Linked DNA regions of Pelodiscus sinensis. The protein of the gene in region 1 purifies or fractionates together with the protein of each later gene. This does not show direct contact. Links are inferred from orthologs where the notes say so. Each region holds a gene or a part of one and is shown on either strand. Other genes may lie near its edges.

What was found.
Region 2: the proteins of EEF1A2 (region 1) and EEF1B2 purify together in Homo sapiens (co-immunoprecipitation; 4 studies listed by BioGRID and IntAct, counting the BioPlex papers as one, with this or other methods). This does not show direct contact. The link is inferred for Pelodiscus sinensis from reciprocal best matches to the Homo sapiens genes EEF1A2 and EEF1B2.

The regions. Positions count from the first base shown.
Region 1 is NC_134728.1:5,851,889-5,862,105, reverse strand, and holds the start of EEF1A2 (elongation factor 1-alpha 2), read right to left. Parts: upstream 5,600-10,217; 5' UTR 5,444-5,599; intron 4,423-5,443; exon of another isoform or gene 4,291-4,422; intron 3,028-4,290; 5' UTR 2,959-3,027; coding exon 2,815-2,958; intron 1-2,814. UniProt on the Homo sapiens protein: Translation elongation factor that catalyzes the GTP-dependent binding of aminoacyl-tRNA (aa-tRNA) to the A-site of ribosomes during the elongation phase of protein synthesis.
Region 2 is NC_134717.1:75,104,078-75,114,294, forward strand, and holds the start of EEF1B2 (elongation factor 1-beta), read left to right. Parts: upstream 1-5,175; 5' UTR 5,176-5,255; coding exon 5,256-5,335; intron 5,336-5,623; coding exon 5,624-5,746; intron 5,747-8,028; coding exon 8,029-8,152; intron 8,153-10,217. UniProt on the Homo sapiens protein: Catalytic subunit of the guanine nucleotide exchange factor (GEF) (eEF1B subcomplex) of the eukaryotic elongation factor 1 complex (eEF1).

The DNA of each region.
Region 1 (10,217 bases):
GCGAAATAGGGTGGCTACGTCAGATAAATGTAGTAGATAAATTATTTAAGCTAGTGGATAATAATCCATCACTTTTATAAAGCACTTTTCACACATTGACCTCAACGTGCTTTTCAAGAGATGGCGAGTATCAACAGCCCCACTTCACAGATGAACAAACTGAGGTAGAGAGAGAGGAAAATCACAGGAGGAGCTGAGAAGATACCTCAGGTCTCCACGCTCACAGACCACTACCCTGCTTGTGTACCATGCTGCTTGACAAACTATCCCTTCTCAGAAGAGCATCTGGGGATATGAATCTAGTCTAAACATATTTGGGATGGTTTTGACCAGTGTTCCCTCTAAACTGTGCACTTGTGCTGCTGCTCAGGAGAGATATCCATGCCACCCAGCTGATTAGCAGAGCATCCACAGCTAGGTTTGTGTTTATCCTGGTGGTGCACATTTGCACATGCCTCGGTGCACATGACAAAATTTATTCTGTATAGGTATGGAAAAGATTAGAGGGAACATTGGTGCTGCTCCTCAGCTCTATAGACCATGCAACTGTGCCTTCTTATTTGAGACCTCACAACATCCCCCCTCATTCAGAAAAAGAGACAGTTGAGAATTATCAGAGAGGGTTATTTGCTTATCCCCCTCTCCAAAAGAAAAGATGGGGAGAGGGGGCTGGTCTTTCCAAATTAGAGCTGGGTCACACTAAAACTTGCAATGTCATGCATAGCTTCAAGGCAAATGTCAGCCTTTATTTAACAAACACATCTCTGCCCCCCCCCCCCCCCCCCCGCCTACTCCCTAGGTCCCTTTCACTGTGTATCTTCAATTACCCAGAGCTGGTGTAGAAAAAAACCTGTATTATCTAGCTTTGCACAATGACTCCACTGTTAAGTACCAGAAACTGCCTGATATTTCTCGATTAAGCTAAGCATCAAGGACAGTTATGTTCTGAGATCAAAAATAAAAAATAAATAAAGAAACCTTCTAAGCTACAACCTCTGTATGCTCTCCTTTTATCTTTTGTCCTTAAAAAAAATGTATCAGCCATGAGGGAGAGGGGGAATGAGAGCAATGCTGGTTGTTGTTTTGTTTTTTTATTCATGCAGGCCTCCATTTCCTCCTAATGCAACTTAGTGAAAGAAAAACCCTCCACAACCCTGCATCAGAAAATGGAGTCTGAAAGCTCAGTCAATAGGCTATTAATAGCAGCTTCTAGCCCCTGCATATTCTGGCAAGTCAGTGAAAGTGTCCGTTCCATGAAAGTGGCTGCAGTCACATCTAGAACAACCTAATTATACCGAGTCTCCCTCATCAGTACAGGACAAAAATATCTATGCAAATAGCACAGTCCGTTTTCCAACCGAATTAAGATACAGGGTGCAGCTTACTGAGAAAGCTGCAAAGAGAACTGATGACAAAGTACAGAAAAAGGTGGTTGATCCTGGGTGTTGTTCCATAAATGAAAAGGGTTAAGAGACTGTTAGCAAAATGTCTGTTCAAGACTGGCAGCTCTAAAAGTGCTGGCATTTTTTGTATTACACATGTTGAATTAAGAAAAATTAAAGTATCTAGGCATGAAAAACAAATTTGTGAAGGCCACAGACATTTTACAGCAATGCATTAAGGTTCCCAATATGGTTCATTTCACAAGAATTTCCTATTGCCATGTTTCAAGTTCTTTTAACTTAAAAAGGTCATTCTGCAATGGTATTTCTTCCCTTTTACTCGATGCATTTGCCCTTGTTATATATTTTGTCTTTGTATGTAGTATGATGAAAGACAAATAAATGTATTTATCATTATACTGCTATTATTATGGTCTTTATAAAAAAAAGAAATAATACAATTAAATGAAGGCACATATTTCAAACCAGATTTTCTACCTTGACAGCTACTGCCAAAGCTATACACGAGATCCTAAACCCAGGAATGTAAATGGATTTTACAAGATTGGGTCAGACCATCTAGCCCAGTATCTTATCTCCAACAATGGCCAATGACAGCTGATTCAGAATGCCATTCAAGAAATACAGCAGAAGGCAGTAATGGAAAAATGTATTCCTAGAGAAAACTTCCTTCTAGCTCCCAATATTTAGATGTTGGCAGGGGTGGGGAACCTCAGTCCCAGGGGCCAGATGCAGCCCTCGGCTTACCTGGACCCTCCAGCATTGGAGAGCCTGTGCTGGCACTCCCGTCCCTTCTCCCCTTATCCCCCATTGCCCTACCACGGGGCTGGAGCACACAAAATCTACTAGCCTGGGCCCCCTAGGTTCTGATGTGCAAGGGGAGCATGGGGAGTGTCTTTCTCCTCAGCTGGGGGTTCAGTTTTTTTTTTTTCCTTTTTCCTTCTCACTTGTGTGCAGCCCCTGTCTGATTTTACTGTGACTCAGCAACCCCCAACCCAAAAAAGGTTCCCCACCCCTGCCTTACAGCATGAACATTTATCTCCCTTCCAGAATCTTTATTCTTTACAGTTAGAACTTGTTAGCTCTGTACAATGGCCAATATATAGAATGTGGCAATGAATGCCACAGTCCGCTGCAAAACCCAAAGGAAAACGTGCCAATGCCAAAATGTCCTCTCTTCCCAAGGCCAGAGAAGTTGGAAAGGCCCAGAAGCAAAGCGATACAGAGCGAATAGGAACAATGGGTGGGCCAAGGAGTAGAGGGAAGGTAGAGGAAGGGCACAGGGAGAAGGGAAGGAATATACTGTAGGGAACAATCCTGCACTGGCAGGGAACGGATTGGATAATCTACAGGGCTTGTCCATCACTCATTCGTTGAGGAAGAGACAGAGGGGAAGGGTCATAGGCCTCACCTCAGCAGCTTCCTTCTCAAATTTCTCAATGGTCCTTTTGTCGATGCCCCCACATTTGTAGATGAGGTGCCCCGTGGTGGTGGATTTCCCAGAGTCCACATGTCCAATGACGACGATGTTGATATGTGTCTTCTCCTTCCCCATCCTCGCGGGTGATGCTGGAAAGGTCCGAGGCTAGCAGAGGCGTGGAAGCAAAGCTGTTTTCCGTGGAGGCTGGGGAGGGACAGACAAGAACATCAAGAGGCTCTGACAAGCAACAAGACCCAGGGCCACCAGGCCTCCTCAGCAGCCTCACCCACAATGACAAACCACATTTAACTATTCAGACACATTTGTACCTTCTGCCTGCTGAATGGATGCACTCTGCTCAGAGACCAGCACACTAGCTGTAGCCAGACCGGGTCAGGTGCGTCTGTCCACCTCCCTTGTCTGTGGCAGTGATGGAAAGCGCCTGCATGCTTCTGGAGTGGCTGAGGCGAACCCCCTTCCTTTTCCCATTCTGCATGCTGGGTAAACCCCGCTGAGCCCCATACAAGTCGCCATCTTTTCAGCCTGTGCAGCTAGGTCTGACTGCTGCCCCTCCCCCGCAGAGACTGCCCATTCAAAATGACATATCATAGGAGCCCCAAACATGTTACCCTACTTAGCCCTTGAACCATGGACAATGTGGGGTGGTACCCCAGAGGTGCATTGCTCCCCTATGTCCCTGCCTAGATGTTGATTGCTAAATGGGGTGCGCCCTCCCTGCTCCTCTGTGTGGCTCTCCCTGCACCCTCCCTCCCTGGCAAGCACCAGTTGCCTATGCCTTGAACCCTGCCAGACTGGCAGCTCCCCCCTCTGCCTTGTGTCCAGGAGGGTTGCTACTCATTTATTCTGGGTGCTTCTATGTCAAAAATTCCCACTGGTTACTAGGCACTGCCTCCATTTCATGCAGTGCTCGGCTCTGGGCGTCCGTTCTTGCCTAGGCTTGTTGATATTCAATTCCACTCTGGCTGCTCCACTGAAACCTCCCAGAGGGCTCATGATCAGGTGGGCAATATGGTGCCCACAAAAGGGAATGGACAAAAATAACCCAGGCTCAGCCCTCTCTTTCCCTGGAAGCTTGCAGAACACTCAGCCATGCCACCAGGGCACGCAGCCGCGAGTTTTCTTCCTTTTCTTCCTCCCCACAAGATCCAATGGAAGAGGTGTGCAAAGAGGGTCTAAAAGCAAGACATCCAGTGATCTGCCTCCGCATTTCCCAGGATCCTGTGGCTTTGCACCTTGCACCACTAACCCAGCAGCATAGGAGCCTAGGAGTTTGTTGCCTAATCAAATCCAGTTTCACATATCTGCCCTTAAAGGCAAAAGAGGCCGGGGGGAAAGTTTTCTGGTATCATACAGATTCCATCATGCACTCAGTTATACCCCCCTCGGAGCAACCTGCCAGGGGGCAAACCCCTCCCCTCCCCCCTCCTTTCTTCACCCTTCACTGACCTGGCTCATCGCATTTTGGAAACTGCATCCCTAATGCTAATGCCTGTAGATAAGCGAACCAAAATGCAGGCAGCTCTTTCCTGGGTGTGCATCCCTCGCCTCCAGCGGCAATCCGCTGAGGAGGAGAAGCCCCCAGGATGAAAGATGCTAAGCGCTTTTATTTGCAAAGGGGGGGGAGGAGGGCCAGGCATTTGGGGCAGAAAAAGCTAGGGATTTGCAATCCAGGGAACGGCCAAAACCCGCGCCGCAGACAACACCTGCTGGCGACCCAACCTCCCCTCGCGGCCCCCCTCCCTCTGGGTTATTTTTAAACCCGGATTGCCCCGGACCTGGCTAGCTCAAAGCGGCCAGGGTCTAATTCTCCGTTTCTTAAGCCTCCCCACGCACCCGGCTCCCCGCACGCAGACCCGGCCGCGCTGCAAAGCCCGAATGCCTGGCCTCGCCTTGCCTGGGGAGGGGGCCCCACAAGGTCACCCCCAGCCGCTGCCCCCCCATTGAACCCCACAACCCCCTCCCCCAGCCGCTGCCCCCCCCATTGAACCCCACAACCCCCTCCCCCAGCCGCTGCCCCCCCATTGAACCCCACAACCCCCTCCCCCAGCCGCTGCCCCCCCATTGAACCCCACAACCCCTCCCCCAGCCGCTGCCCCCCCCATTGAACCCCACAACCCCCTCCCCCAGCCGATGCCCCCCCATTGAACCCCACAACCCCTCCCCCAGCCGATGCCCCCCCATTGAACCCCACAACCCCCTCCCCCAGCCGCTGCCCCCCCATTGAACCCCACAACCCCCTCCCCCAGCCGATGCCCCCCCATTGAACCCCACAACCCCTCCCCCAGCCGATGCCCCCCCCATTGAACCCCACAACCCCCTCCCCCAGCCGCTGCCTACCCATTGAACCCCACAACCCCCTCCCGCAGCCGCTGCCCCCCCCATTGAACCCCACAACCCCCTCCCCCAGCCGCTGCCCCCCATTGAACCCCACAACCCCCTCCCCCAGCCTGGGGGGCCGCCCCCAAGCGAGCTGGGAGGAGACACGCCCGCCGGCCGCAGGGACAGTGCCCGGAGCACCCCCGCGGCTCCCCCCTGCGCCCCCCGGGCCGCCCAGCCCCCCAGCCCCGGCAGGGCTCGGAGCCCGCTGCCCGGCTCTTACCGCTGTCGGCGCCGGGCTCAGACAGCAGAGGCTGCCCGCTTCGGCTCCGGCGGCTTTATCTCCCTGGCAGGGGGTCCCCCTATTGCCAGTGCCGGCGCAATGCAGTGCCCCCCTGCGCTACAGCAATGCGGTACCGAGCGGGGCGGAGCCGGGCGGAGGGGCAGGGCGCCGGGGAGGGGGGGGCGGCAGCTGATGGGGGGGGGGTCGGAGGAAGAGAAAAATAGAGAGGGGTGGGGGAGCTGGAGAAGGGGAGGGGAGAGGAGGGATGGGGAGGGAGGGCAGATGGGGGAGGGGGCACGGCAGGGTTGGCAGGTGATGGGGGGGTCAGAGGAGGGGAGAGGAAGATAAAATAGAGGGTGGGATGGGGAGGGGGACTAGAGAGAGGGGAGATGGGGAGGGGAGAGGCGGGATGGGGAGGGAGGGCAGATGGGGGAGGGGGCACGGCAGGGTTGGCAGGTGATGGGGGGTCAGAGAAGGGGAGAGGAAGATAAAATAGAGGGTGGGATGGGGAGGGGGACTAGAGAGAGGGGAGATGGGGAGAGGAGAGGAGGGATGGGGAGGGAGGGCAGATGGGGGAGGGGGCACGGCAGGGTTGGCAGGTGATGGGGGGTCAGAGGAGGGGAGAGGAAGATAAAAATAGAGGGTGGGATGGGGAGGGGGAACTAGAGAGAGGGAGATGGGGAGGGGAGAGGAGATGGGGTAATGGGATGGGGATTAAGAGAAGAGGGGAGGGAGCAGATGGGGGGACACACTGGCAGGTAATGGGGGGATTAGGGTCAGTGGAGAGGAAGATAAAAACAAAGGTTGAGAGATGGGGAGGGAGGACAGATAGGGAGGGGGACACAGCAGGGATGGCAGGTAATTGGGGGGAGTTAGAGAAGGGGAGAGGGTGGGATGGGGAGGGGGCTCTAGAGAGAGGCGAGATGAGGAGATGGGGGAATGGGATTGGAGGAGGTGGGGGAGATGGAAGGGAGGAGAGGGAGATAGGGGAGATGGGGGGGCACAGCAGGTACAGCAAGAGAAGGGGGTTAGAGGAAAAGAAAAATAGAGGGTGGGGAGGGGAGCTAGAGATTGGGGAAAAGGGAAGAGGAGACTGGGGCAGGAGGGGGAGGGGAGGGGAAGAGAAAAATTAAGGTTGTGGGATGGGAAGGGAGAGGAGATGGGGAGGGAGGACAGATGGAGGAGGAGGGCACAGCGGGGATGGCAGGTAATGGGGGGGTCAGAGGAGGGGAGAGGAGAGAAAAATAAAGGGTGGGTTGGGGAGGAGCAGCTAGAGAGAGGGGAGATGAGGAGATGGGGGAATGGGATGGGGGATATGGGGAGATGAAGAGGGACACATGGGGGGACACAGCGGGGATGACAGGAGAGTGGGGGGTCAGAGGAGGGCTGGGAAACCAAGGGCAGTGTCTTGCAGTGGGGCAGCGGAGGGGTGCAGGCCGGTGAGGAGGCTCGGAGTTCTATCCGGCTGCAGGCTGGCCAAGTCAGGCCACGCAGGAATATTTGCACCATGTGCCAGCCAGCCACTAACCCCGGGAGAAGGAAGGCTGGGCCCGGGTATGACAGCAAGTGGGGCAGAGTGACAAGTGCCATTAGCACTAGTCATCTGGCTGGGCTCAGGATCCAGGGGTGTCCCAATCGGGGACAAGCTGGAGGGCTCAGAACATTATTGAGGATGAGCCTCCGCATCGCTGAAACCAGCCGGAAGAGACAGCAGCGAGGCTGAGGGCAGAGCGGGCCCGAGGAGAGAACTTCTCACCAGCCTTGAGGTGGCCGGCCCCAGTCAGGATGTAGACACATGGGGCTGTTCTCTGGCTCCCAACGTGACTCCCTTTGGAAACCTCAGTTCACAGGAGAAAGAGAGGTTTGCTTTTGCTTGGCACCACCGAAGCTCCTGGCTGGATTGCTGAAGCGCTGATGTCCCTGGGCCCTTTTGGAGGAGGCCGCGTTTCCCCGCAACGCTGCGGGACATAGCGAACTGCCTAAGTGGGAGCTGAAGGCCTCATTACATATTAGCAGTGATTGATACTCACCACCCAGGAGAGGCTATTGCCGTTACAAATTGAATTCTGGCAGTAATCACCAGGCTGTCATTTCAGTCTCTTTCCAAATTCATTTTACCCCATCCATCACTTTGGAGAGGATACCAAGGCTGGACCGACCTGATTAGATTGCAAATTCACCTCAGTGGCCAGGAAGTAGGCCTCGAGGCTGCCATGTTAGTGGTGGGAGCAAGTGTGCTGGAGAGGGACAGCAGATACCTGCAGAGAAAAGTTACAGGATAAGGAAACTTTTACAATGGATTTCTTCAGAGGGAGGGAAAGCTAGAATTGTAACTACTACCACAGAGGGGCAACCAGAGCTCTGATGAGAAAGGCATGTTCAGGTTTGCTTGGCCTATTTGGAAGGGGAAAGAAAACATTTCTTCCTAGATTTGCATAACAGGGTTTCACCAGGGCTTATAAGTAATAATAATCATACCTAGCTTTTTCATATAGAACTCTTCATCAGTAGATCTCAAAGCAAGTCGCAATATTTAGTGTGTGTATCCTCACAACAGCCATGGGAGGGAGGGAAATGCTGTTATCCCATTGTACAGATGGGGAACTGAGGCAGAGAGGCCTAGGTAACTTGGCCAAGCAGTACAGATAAGGTTTTGGATTCATCAAATGTTAGTGTTTCTAGTGTTTAAAGCAGGGGACTGAGGGTTAGGACTTTTGGTCTCTAGCCTAGTCTTTGCTACTGATTAGCTATATGACCTTGGGCAAGTCATTTAACTTCTCTGTGCCTCAGTTTGCCCATCCTTAAAATGGGGCTAATGATTATTTGGGTCAAAAACTGCTTTGGGAATAATTAAATCCTTGTATAGCCCTCCTAAACATTCCGGTGAAACGTCTAATTATTAGATTCAACACCTGTCATTTAACAATGTCATCAACGTTCATTATTATAGCAGGAAACACCAAGGCTTATCAGCAAATGAACAAATAAAGCAAAATGTGCATAAATACCTGTGTTGATTCAGCTGATATGAATATTGCTTTATCAAACATAAAAAGCTGTGTTTGATATGATGAGTCTATGAGAAGTGGTTAAAGCTCTGATGGCAGAAATATCTCGTAAATACTCTCTTCTTGTGCAGTTACTTGATATGGTACTTGCCTGAGAAATACCATGTGGTTGCCAGAATATTTACAGAATGAGCTATGCAATTGTAAGAATAATGCAGACAATTTCTAATGTAAAGCTAGAGGACAGGTTAAAAGGTAATTAGTTGTGACCTAAACAAAATACTAACTAAGCAGGATTTTTAGGGCATAGACCCATCATTTTGTTCTGTGTTTGTACTGCTAGCTCAATAGGATCCTGTCCATGCCTGGGCCTCCTATGTACTAGCACAATTACAATAACAACAAATAGTGCATATACCACATTTTACCAGCTCAACCTGATGTTTTTAACTTGTATCATTTAAGGGTTAAAGAATATCTGTACCAGGTAACTTACAGTAGTCCTATCCTACAATAATTTATTGTACAGGAGTCATATTATGGTTCTATTATATTTTAATCTGCATTCTATTAATATTTTAGAACCACGATAGATCACAAAATTATATATGAGATGCCATTTCTTTTCATATATAAAATATAATGCAGTGAGGCTCACGTGTCAACCAGAAAAGATGGCTGTCAGGCAAGATTTAGAAGGCCCAGTTCAGACCAGTCATCGGGTCTGAATTTGTCCCAGTGAGTGTAAATGATATAGATTATTCATAAAGGATTAATAATATAGACACATTTGAGTAAAGTGGACACAACCCCATAGCCTTTAGTGATGAATTTGGCTCATTAGGTGAAATCCTGATCCCACTTAAGTCAATGGCAGAACTACTGACTTAAATGGAATCAGAATGTCTGCCATTATGTGCAGTAGATGGAAGAATAAACTGAACGCCAGGCATCCTTTCTTGTCTGAGTAGCAGTACGTTCTATGCACGAGGCCCTTGTTCTCACCATCTGTGCCTTACTGCCTCTGTTTTGCAGGGAAATAGCCTCTCTTTCACTCCTTTATACCAGCGAATCGATGAGACATAGTCTGAAATTTGCTAATAGATTCCCTGTCTGAAAGTTCCACCCCTGAGGTCACAAGGGGTGAACGAGCCCAATGCCTTGCTCTATGCAGGACCACTCTTGAGGACAGACAGGAGTGGAGAGCAGATAACAGCCCTTATTTTTATCCTCTCCTTTCTTGAGCGAGGTTTGGCTAATTTTAGCATTTGCCCCTCCTCATCTTTACGGCTATAACAGTCAGGGAAGAAGAGTAAAGGCCTATGCCTATTAGAAACTGTGGTTAAAATCAGGTGGTAGGTAATCATTCCGTTCCCACACAAGCACAGAGCCGCTGGGGGGATTTGCTTGTATAGCATTGTGCTGTCTGAATTTTAATGTGTTGTTTGTATCACCAAATTCCGCTCTCACTTACCTCCATGCTGCCCTAGTGATTTGAGAGCCACACGGGCATAAGAGAGGGCAGAATCTAGTGCCTAGCATGTGTCCTATTTTAACAATGAAATCCAGTGTGACAGCCCCTCAAGCTATCAATAGTACAGCCTACAAAAAAGGATACACTATGTTCAGACCTGGCTAATCTGGGCGTAGTTTAGCCACGTTGTGCCCAGCCTCTGAAAAGAATTTAAAGTGGTAGCTGTCTAATAATGTGCATCGGCAGGTAGAATTCTTTTTTAATCCAAAAGATGGTGTTAAAGACTGAACAG
Region 2 (10,217 bases), on another chromosome or scaffold:
GCGGGTTTGTACTAATGGAGAGTTACGAACGGTGCGAACGCAGGGCTGCAGGCTGCTGGGGCGCTGGCGGGTTTGTACCAATGGAGAGTTACGAACGGTGCGAACGCAGGGCTGCAGGCTGCTGGGGCGCTGGCGGGTTTGTACCAATGGAGAGTTACGAACGGTGCGAACGCAGGGCTGCAGGCTGCTGGGGCGCTGGCGGGTTTGTACCAATGGAGAGTTACGAACGGTGCGAACGCAGGGCTGCAGGCTGCTGGGGCGCTGGCGGGTTTGTACTAATGGAGAGTTACGAACGGTGCGAACGCAGGGCTGCAGGCTGCTGGGGCACTGGCGGGTTTGTACCAATGGAGAGTTACGAACGGTGCGAACGCAGGGCTGCAGGCTGCTGGGGCGCTGGCGGGTTTGTACCAATGGAGAGTTACGAACGGTGCGAACGCAGGGCTGCAGGCTGCTGGGGCACTGGCGGGTTTGTACCAATGGAGAGTTACGAACGGTGCGAACGCAGGGCTGCAGGCTGCTGGGGCACTGGCGGGTTTGTACCAATGGAGAGTTACGAACGGTGCGAACGCAGGGCTGCAGGCTGCTGGGGCACTGGCGGGTTTGTACTAATGGAGAGTTACGAACGGTGCGAACGCAGGGCTGCAGGCTGCTGGGGCACTGGCGGGTTTGTACTAATGGAGAGTTACGCACGGTGCGAACGCAGGGCTGCAGGCTGCTGGGGCGCTGGCGGGTTTGTACTAATGGAGAGTTACGAACGGTGCGAACGCAGGGCTGCAGGCTGCTGGGGCACTGGCGGGTTTGTACTGAATGGAGAGTTACGAACGGTGCGAACGCAGGGCTGCAGGCTGCTGGGGCGCTGGCGGGTTTGTACTAATGGAGAGTTACGAACGGTGCGAACGCAGGGCTGCAGGCTGCTGGGGCGCTGGCGGGTTTGTACCAATGGAGAGTTACGAACGGTGCGAACGCAGGGCTGCAGGCTGCTGGGGCACTGGCGGGTTTGTACCAATGGAGAGTTACGAACGGTGCGAACGCAGGGCTGCAGGCTGCTGGGGCGCTGGCGGGTTTGTACTAATGGAGAGTTACGAACGGTGCGAACGCAGGGCTGCAGGCTGCTGGGGCGCTGGCGGGTTTGTACTAATGGAGAGTTACGAACGGTGCGAACGCAGGGCTGCAGGCTGCTGGGGCACTGGCGGGTTTGTACTAATGGAGAGTTACGAACGGTGCGAACGCAGGGCTGCAGGCTGCTGGGGCGCTGGCGGGTTTGTACCAATGGAGAGTTACGAACGGTGCGAACGCAGGGCTGCAGGCTGCTGGGGCACTGGCGGGTTTGTACTAATGGAGAGTTACGCACGGTGCGAACGCAGGGCTGCAGGCTGCTGGGGCGCTGGCGGGTTTGTACCAATGGAGAGTTACGAACGGTGCGAACGCAGGGCTGCAGGCTGCTGGGGCGCTGGCGGGTTTGTACTAATGGAGAGTTACGAACGGTGCGAACGCAGGGCTGCAGGCTGCTGGGGCGCTGGCGGGTTTGTACTAATGGAGAGTTACGAACGGTGCGAACGCAGGGCTGCAGGCTGCTGGGGCGCTGGCGGGTTTGTACTAATGGAGAGTTACGAACGGTGCGAACGCAGGGCTGCAGGCTGCTGGGGCACTGGCGGGTTTGTACTAATGGAGAGTTACGAACGGTGCGAACGCAGGGCTGCAGGCTGCTGGGGCGCTGGCGGGTTTGTACTAATGGAGAGTTACGCACGGTGCGAACGCAGGGCTGCAGGCTGCTGGGGCGCTGGCGGGTTTGTACTAATGGAGAGTTACGCACGGTGCGAACGCAGGGCTGCAGGCTGCTGGGGCGCTGGCGGGTTTGTACTAATGGAGAGTTACGCACGGTGCGAACGCAGGGCTGCAGGCTGCTGGGGCGCTGGCGGGTTTGTACTAATGGAGAGTTACGCACGGTGCGAACGCAGGGCTGCAGGCTGCTGGGGCACTGGCGGGTTTGTACCAATGGAGAGTTACGAACGGTGCGAACGCAGGGCTGCAGGCTGCTGGGGCGCTGGCGGGTTTGTACCAATGGAGAGTTACGCACGGTGCGAACGCAGGGCTGCAGGCTGCTGGGGCACTGGCGGGTTTGTACCAATGGAGAGTTACGCACGGTGCGAACGCAGGGCTGCAGGCTGCTGGGGCACTGGCGGGTTTGTACCAATGGAGAGTTACGAACGGTGCGAACGCAGGGCTGCAGGCTGCTGGGGCACTGGCGGGTTTGTACTAATGGAGAGTTACGAACGGTGCGAACGCAGGGCTGCAGGCTGCTGGGGCACTGGCGGGTTTGTACCAATGGAGAGTTACGCACGGTGCGAACGCAGGGCTGCAGGCTGCTGGGGCACTGGCGGGTTTGTACCAATGGAGAGTTACGAACGGTGCGAACGCAGGGCTGCAGGCTGCTGGGGCACTGGCGGGTTTGTACTAATGGAGAGTTACGAACGGTGCGAACGCAGGGCTGCAGGCTGCTGGGGCGCTGGCGGGTTTGTACCAATGGAGAGTTACGAACGGTGCGAACGCAGGGCTGCAGGCTGCTGGGGCGCTGGCGGGTTTGTACTAATGGAGAGTTACGAACGGTGCGAACGCAGGGCTGCAGGCTGCTGGGGCGCTGGCGGGTTTGTACCAATGGAGAGTTACGAACGGTGCGAACGCAGGGCTGCAGGCTGCTGGGGCACTGGCGGGTTTGTACTAATGGAGAGTTACGCACGGTGCGAACGCAGGGCTGCAGGCTGCTGGGGCGCTGGCGGGTTTGTACTAATGGAGAGTTACGCACGGTGCGAACGCAGGGCTGCAGGCTGCTGGGGCACTGGCGGGTTTGTACTAATGGAGAGTTACGAACGGTGCGAACGCAGGGCTGCAGGCTGCTGGGGCACTGGCGGGTTTGTACTAATGGAGAGTTACGCACGGTGCGAACGCAGGGCTGCAGGCTGCTGGGGCACTGGCGGGTTTGTACTAATGGAGAGTTACGCACGGTGCGAACGCAGGGCTGCAGGCTGCTGGGGCACTGGCGGGTTTGTACCAATGGAGAGTTACGAACGGTGCGAACGCAGGGCTGCAGGCTGCTGGGGCGCTGGCGGGTTTGTACTAATGGAGAGTTACGCACGGTGCGAACGCAGGGCTGCAGGCTGCTGGGGCACTGGCGGGTTTGTACTAATGGAGAGTTACGAACGGTGCGAACGCAGGGCTGCAGGCTGCTGGGGCGCTGGCGGGTTTGTACTAATGGAGAGTTACGAACGGTGCGAACGCAGGGCTGCAGGCTGCTGGGGCGCTGGCGGGTTTGTACTAATGGAGAGTTACGAACGGTGCGAACGCAGGGCTGCAGGCTGCTGGGGCGCTGGCGGGTTTGTACTAATGGAGAGTTACGAACGGTGCGAACGCAGGGCTGCAGGCTGCTGGGGCACTGGCGGGTTTGTACCAATGGAGAGTTACGAACGGTGCGAACGCAGGGCTGCAGGCTGCTGGGGCGCTGGCGGGTTTGTACTAATGGAGAGTTACGAACGGTGCGAACGCAGGGCTGCAGGCTGCTGGGGCGCTGGCGGGTTTGTACTAATGGAGAGTTACGCACGGTGCGAACGCAGGGCTGCAGGCTGCTGGGGCACTGGCGGGTTTGTACCAATGGAGAGTTACGCACGGTGCGAACGCAGGGCTGCAGGCTGCTGGGGCGCTGGCGGGTTTGTACTAATGGAGAGTTACGCACGGTGCGAACGCAGGGCTGCAGGCTGCTGGGGCACTGGCGGGTTTGTACCAATGGAGAGTTACGAACGGTGCGAACGCAGGGCTGCAGGCTGCTGGGGCGCTGGCGGGTTTGTACTAATGGAGAGTTACGAACGGTGCGAACGCAGGGCTGCAGGCTGCTGGGGCGCTGGCGGGTTTGTACTAATGGAGAGTTACGCACGGTGCGAACGCAGGGCTGCAGGCTGCTGGGGCACTGGCGGGTTTGTACCAATGGAGAGTTACGAACGGTGCGAACGCAGGGCTGCAGGCTGCTGGGGCACTGGCGGGTTTGTACTAATGGAGAGTTACGAACGGTGCGAACGCAGGGCTGCAGGCTGCTGGGGCGCTGGCGGGTTTGTACTAATGGAGAGTTACGCACGGTGCGAACGCAGGGCTGCAGGCTGCTGGGGCGCTGGCGGGTTTGTACCAATGGAGAGTTACGAACGGTGCGAACGCAGGGCTGCAGGCTGCTGGGGCGCTGGCGGGTTTGAAGGAAGCCGTCGCACGCCGGCCTGTGCCACCAGGGGCACTGCCCCAGTACGTGCCGCAGCGCGGGCCCCGGAGCCCGCAGCACCGACAGCGAGCGAGCGGCCTGGGCAGGCCTGCGAACGCCCCAGGCCCTAGGGCCGGGCCCCGCCTCAGGGCACCCGGGCTCCCCCAGCCAGGGAGACCCGGGCCGCCGCTGCCGGGCGGGGCGGGGCACAGGGGGACGCGCGCGCCCCCGCGCCGGTCAAGGGCACCCCGGGACAGGCGGAAAGCAACGAACCCGCCGCGGCAGGGAGCGGCTGACCCCGCCCAGCGCCGCAGCAAGGCCCCGGGCCCCGTTACCTCCGTGCGCTGGAGGAGCCGGCCGCCCCCGCCGCACCTATTCGGTCTTCTGAAGGCAGACGCTGCGCCTGAGCGCTCTCGCCCCGCTAATATGGCGGCCGCTTCGGCAACTTCCGTCACTCCCCGGAGATTCCATCGGCCATTTCCGTCAGTAGGGGCCTCGGCAACTTCCGTCACTCCCCGGAGATTCCATCGGCCATTTCCGTCAGTAGGGGCCTCGGCAACTTCCGTCACTCCCCGGAGATTCCATCGGCCATTTCCGTCAGTAGGGGCCTCGGCAACTTCCGTTACTCCCCGAAGGCTCCTTCGGCCATTTCCGTCACCAGTGCCGCTGATCGGTAACTTCCGTCAGTCCCCCGCTCAGTTCTGGTGATTTTCGAAAATCTTCGCGTTGTAGCCGAGGCGGAACCCCCCGAACATCCTCATTATTAGCCGTTCGCTATCTCCGTCCTCCGAGTGTCCCTCCCCATCCGCCCTGCTCCTGTGCTAAGTGGTGTGGCGGGGGATTATTTCCAGGTGCGTTCCCGCGGAGGGATAATGTCACGTCAGAGGCCCGTGCGGCGGAGGGATACCACGCACTCTCTATAAAACGGGAGCGGAGGGCTGCCTCTCTCTCTTTCTGCGGTGGGTGCCGGTCGGGTCTTGCGTCTGAGGGCTGTGACGACGACGGTACTCTCGCCGCCATGGGCTTCGGGGACCTCCGCTCCTCTGCCGGCCTCCGGCTCCTCAACGACTTCCTCGCTGACAAAAGCTACATCGAGGGGTGAGCGGCGCGCGGAGCCGTGAGGCGGCTGCCGCAGAACGGCCCCTCCCCCGCGAGCCCGGCCTGCTGGGATCTGGCGCGTGGCCTGCAGGTCGGCCTCGTGCCGCGTGGCCTGCGCGCGCTCGGACACCCCCCCCCCCCCAACAGCGGTTGAGTCCGTTGGGCCCAGGGCGGTGATGCACGAGCCGCCTGGCGGGTTCCCTGCGCCCCGGGGCGGGCGGGAAGCCTGCGGCGTGTGTTGCGCAGCGTGTCGTGCCTGGGATCGGCGCTGACTCGTGTTTTCTGCAGGCACGTGCCCTCGCAGGCGGACGTGGCGGTTTTCGAGGCCTTGTCCGCGCCACCCCCGGCTGACCTGTTCCACGCGCTGCGCTGGTACAAGCACATCCAGTCCTATGAGCGGCAAAAGGCCAGGTACCTCCAGCGGCTCCCGCGGAGCGCTCACTGATACGTGAGGGGCTAATCGCCGAGCGTCATCGTGTCTCCATGGGCTTGTAGCCAGCAGTTCTGTAGACAGGGACTTTGAACCCACGGGCTGTTCCTGGCCCAGCACACAGCTGAGCCCACAATGGTAAATAGGTGACGCTTATACCCCGACCGGATCATGGCCCAGTACAGATTCCCCCTACAATATGTACACCAGCTTCTCACTCCCCGCCCCATGTGTATCTTGAAATAGGAATTCTAGCAAACAAAATTACCAACTCTCATGTTGGGAGACCTTTCATTCACATGATCATCCTGAAATCTTAAAGTAAATTAAATAGTGACCTGCAGAAGCACCTGGAAATGTGAAAGCAAATGTATTCTTTTCTCTTTTAGTGAATTTAGTGCTCATGAAAGTTGCCGTATTGACAGCCATGGAGACTGAAGTCCTCTCTAGAAAAGGTACACCATAGGCAGCTTCAGTGTGTGCACTTTCCACACTGCCTCACCATTGTGCTTCAACCCTGTTTTGGGGGAGCCTCCTGTAGAGTTGAATTGTTCAGTCTCCTGACCTTTGGCTTTTTTGATGCTTCTGCTAACTGTATACCACTTGTGATGGTTTGTCTTGAAACTGGACAAAAGTTATAAGCTTATTTCATTAATCTCGCTACAAATTCTGACAACATCTAACTAGTACCAGTCTAGCAAAATTCAAAGTACAGGTTAATATAGAGGAACATAATCATGGAGGCTAGTGTTCTGTCACTGCAGTTTATCAGAAATAGCAATCTAATAAAATGCAAATAGACATAAAAGCTTAAGATAACATCATTTTGTCTTCGGTAGATACCTTCAGAATAATGAAGGTGCAAAGAAAGTCATAGTTAAATACACTAAGGTAGCTAAAGGAGGAGGCAGTAGAAAGGCTGAAATATATATATTTTCAAGCAATAGAGGGAGCTGTTTGCACTTCTGAAGTCCAGACTCAATTACAAACATAAAAGCAAATGCCTATTTGCAGCTGTGGAAGTAAGCAAGAGGTGTGTGTGGTGTGGACATGGGACAGCACTGGAGGCACAGTAGGTGGCCATGCAATCAGTGGCTATAGAAGTGACAGTTTTCCTTTCAAGGCACCACTTCTCTCCTGTTGGCTGTGTGGCTCTCCCTGCTCCAGAGTCCTCCAGCTTTGGGTGCAACCCCTGAGGTGAGATGGGTGGAGGATGTCCAGAAGTCCCCTTCAGAATTTCCATCTTCCTCATCCTCTAATTAAATCTGCCTTTCCATAAACACCAGCATTAAGGTTAAATAAACTATTTCTTGGTCAATTCTATTATTCTGATTGTTTAATTACTAGCATTGTTTCCTGTGCGGTTGGGTGTCTGCTTAGGAGAAATTCAAATGATGCTGAGCTGATTAGCAGAGCATCTGTTTGTTGGTGTAGATTTGCACATGCCTCAGTGCACATAAAATACTACACATGGATGGAAAAAATCTGCACACAGTGCAGATATGGATTACTAGTATATTTTGTGAATATAGTATTTCAGCTATATTATGGGTTAAGTAGGTTTTTGTGGGATAGCCTGGGAACCTAAAACCATTTTATAGCTTTCTATAGGAAAATGTGTTCAGAGTTGGGGCTTCCTGTATTTAGTTCCTAACAGGTTCCATTCGTTCTAAAACAACACAAGCCAGGTTGTGTTGATGTTAGGCACTAAAAAAGCTCATTCTCAAACAACTCCATAGCTAAAACACCAAAATCAATTAATTACCTGGTTACAAAACTAGCCTTACCACTGTACCTACCAAGCCACTAATTGATCCTCCACTGAAAACAAAGGTTTTCAAGAAATCATTTGGGTGGAAAGTGGAAGATTTATTTAATGATGCAATATAGTGTTAATTTTCAAGAACCACTAATCTTTCTCTGATCTATTGTCTCTTTTCTGCATGTTGTAAAAAGCAAAACTTACCAAATCACCCATGAACAAAATTCCAGACAAGTGGTTGCTGTTAGGTGCTATATTGTCGGAAATTCTGCTAGCAAGAGCAAAAGTAGTATGCCATTTAGCTGCCTATGCATGCGGGATTCACCATTATAATTGTCAATTTAATTATGTTGAGTGCACTTTTGGGACTGTTCTGGCTTCTCTCACTTTTGAAATTGTAGTATACTTGATTGCTATCACAAATAATCATTACTGGAGGTTCATTGATCTTAAATCTTTGTGTGTGAGATTAGGAGTGTAATATTTTGCCACTTGTTTTAGTTTGCCAGGAGTAAAGAAAGCTTTGGGGAAATATGGTCCTGCTGATGTTGAAGACGCTACAGCTGCAGCCACAGATAGCAAAGATGATGATGACATTGATCTCTTCGGATCAGAGGATGAGGAGGTACTGGCTAATCTTAAGCAACAAATGGTCTGGTAGCACTTTATAGACTAACAAAACATGTAGATGGTATCATGCGCTTTCGTGGCCACAGCCCACTTCTTCAGATGACTGGAATTATGAGTTTACGATGCCCAGACCTAAAATGAATGGGGGGAAGAGGGGGAGGAAGGGGCTAGGAGACACAGAGCAGAGGGTATGAAAATATCAAAGGGGGAAAAAAAGTAGGCAGAACTGGTAACCTATAAGCCCAATCTTTAGGTGTAGTTAAAAGCAGCAGACAAGAATCATAGGATAGCAATTAGATAGGAAGGGTACCAACACCAGAAAATACACACAGAGCTGTTGGCACCTTCATTCATAGAGACCTCAGAAGGCCATCAAGTCCAGCCCCCCGCCCAAGGCAGGACCAATCCCAATTAAATCAACCTAGCCAGGGCTTTGTCAAGCCGAGACTTAAACACCTCTAGGGATAAAGACTCCCCCTACTTCCCTAGGTAACCCATTCCAGTGCTTCACCACCCTCCTAGTGAAATAGTTTTTCCTAATATCCAACCTGGACCTCTCCCCACCGCAACTTGAGACCATTGCTCCTTGTTCTGCCATCCATCACTACTATGAACAGCCTTTCTCCAGCCTCTTTGGAACCTCCCTTCGGGAAGTTGAAGGCTCCTATCAAATCCCCCCTCACTCTTCTCTTTTGCAGACTAAACAGACCCAACTCCCTCAGTCTTTCCTTGTAAGTCATGTGCTCCAACCCCCTAATCATTTAGTTGCCCTCCGCTGGACCCTCTCCAATGCATCCAGATCCTTTCTGTAATTAGGGGCCCAGAACTGGACACAGTATTCCAGATGTGGCCTCACCAGAGCCGAATAAAGAGGAATAATCACATCTCTGGATCTACTGGCAACGTTCCTCTTAATGCAACCTAATATGCCATTAGCCTTCTTGGCTACATGGGCACACCATTGACTTATATCCAGCTTCTCATCCACTGTAATCCCCTGGTCCTTTTTTTGCAAAACTGCTACTTAGCCAGTTGGTCCCCTCCAGCCTGTACCAATGCTTTGGATTCTTCCATCCCAAGTGCAGGACTCTACACTTGTCCTTGTTGAACCTCATCAGATTTCTTGTGGCCCAATCCTCCAATTTGTCTAAGTCATTTTGGACCCTATCTCTGCCCTCCAGCGTATCTGCCTCTCCCCCTAGAGCTTAGTGTCATCTGCAAACTTGCTGAGGGTGCAATCCATCTCTTCATCCAGGTCACTAATAAAGATGTTGAACAAAAATGGTCCCAGAACTGAACCTTGGGGCACTCCACTAGCACCATCCTGACATCAAGCCATTGATCATTACCTGCTGGGCCCAACCTTCCAGCTAGCTTTCTATCCATTGTACCATCCATTTGTCCAATCCACGTTCCCTTAACTTGCTGGCAAGAATATTGTGGGAGACCATATCAAAAGCCTTGCTAAAATCAAGGTATTAATTGATCTGGAGCATGTGCGAGGCTTCCAGGCAAGGACCGAGCGTTGGGCAGTCAGGCGAAACGCCCCGTGTATGTCAGGGTACTGACTTGGTAACCATTTATCACATCCAGTGACTTTCCCATATCTACAGAGCCAGTTACCTCATCATAGAAGCTAATCAGATTGAATGTTAGGCTGAATAATGTCCAAGCCATTGCTTATCTCGATTGAGGAGGTTATCAGTGTGAGAATTGAATTTGTGGATGTATTGTAATTCCAACGCCTCTGTGTATTTGGCTTGTAGAATTAGTTTGTGACAAGACAGCCACCTGGAGAGCTTTTAAAGAGTGTTTAGGTAGATTGAAGTGTTGTCCTACAGGTTTCTGTATTTCCTTTACATATATCTGATTTGTGTCCATTGGGGGGTGGGTGGGTGGGTGGGTGTGTGTGTGTGTCCATTGATAGATATAAAAAAATATAGTGCAGTGGGGCATCGCTGGCATTTGATGGCATAGATCAAATTACTGGATGTGCAATTAAATGAGTCTTTGACTCGGTAGCTTATGTTGTTGTCTCCAGTACTGAAGAGATTATTTTT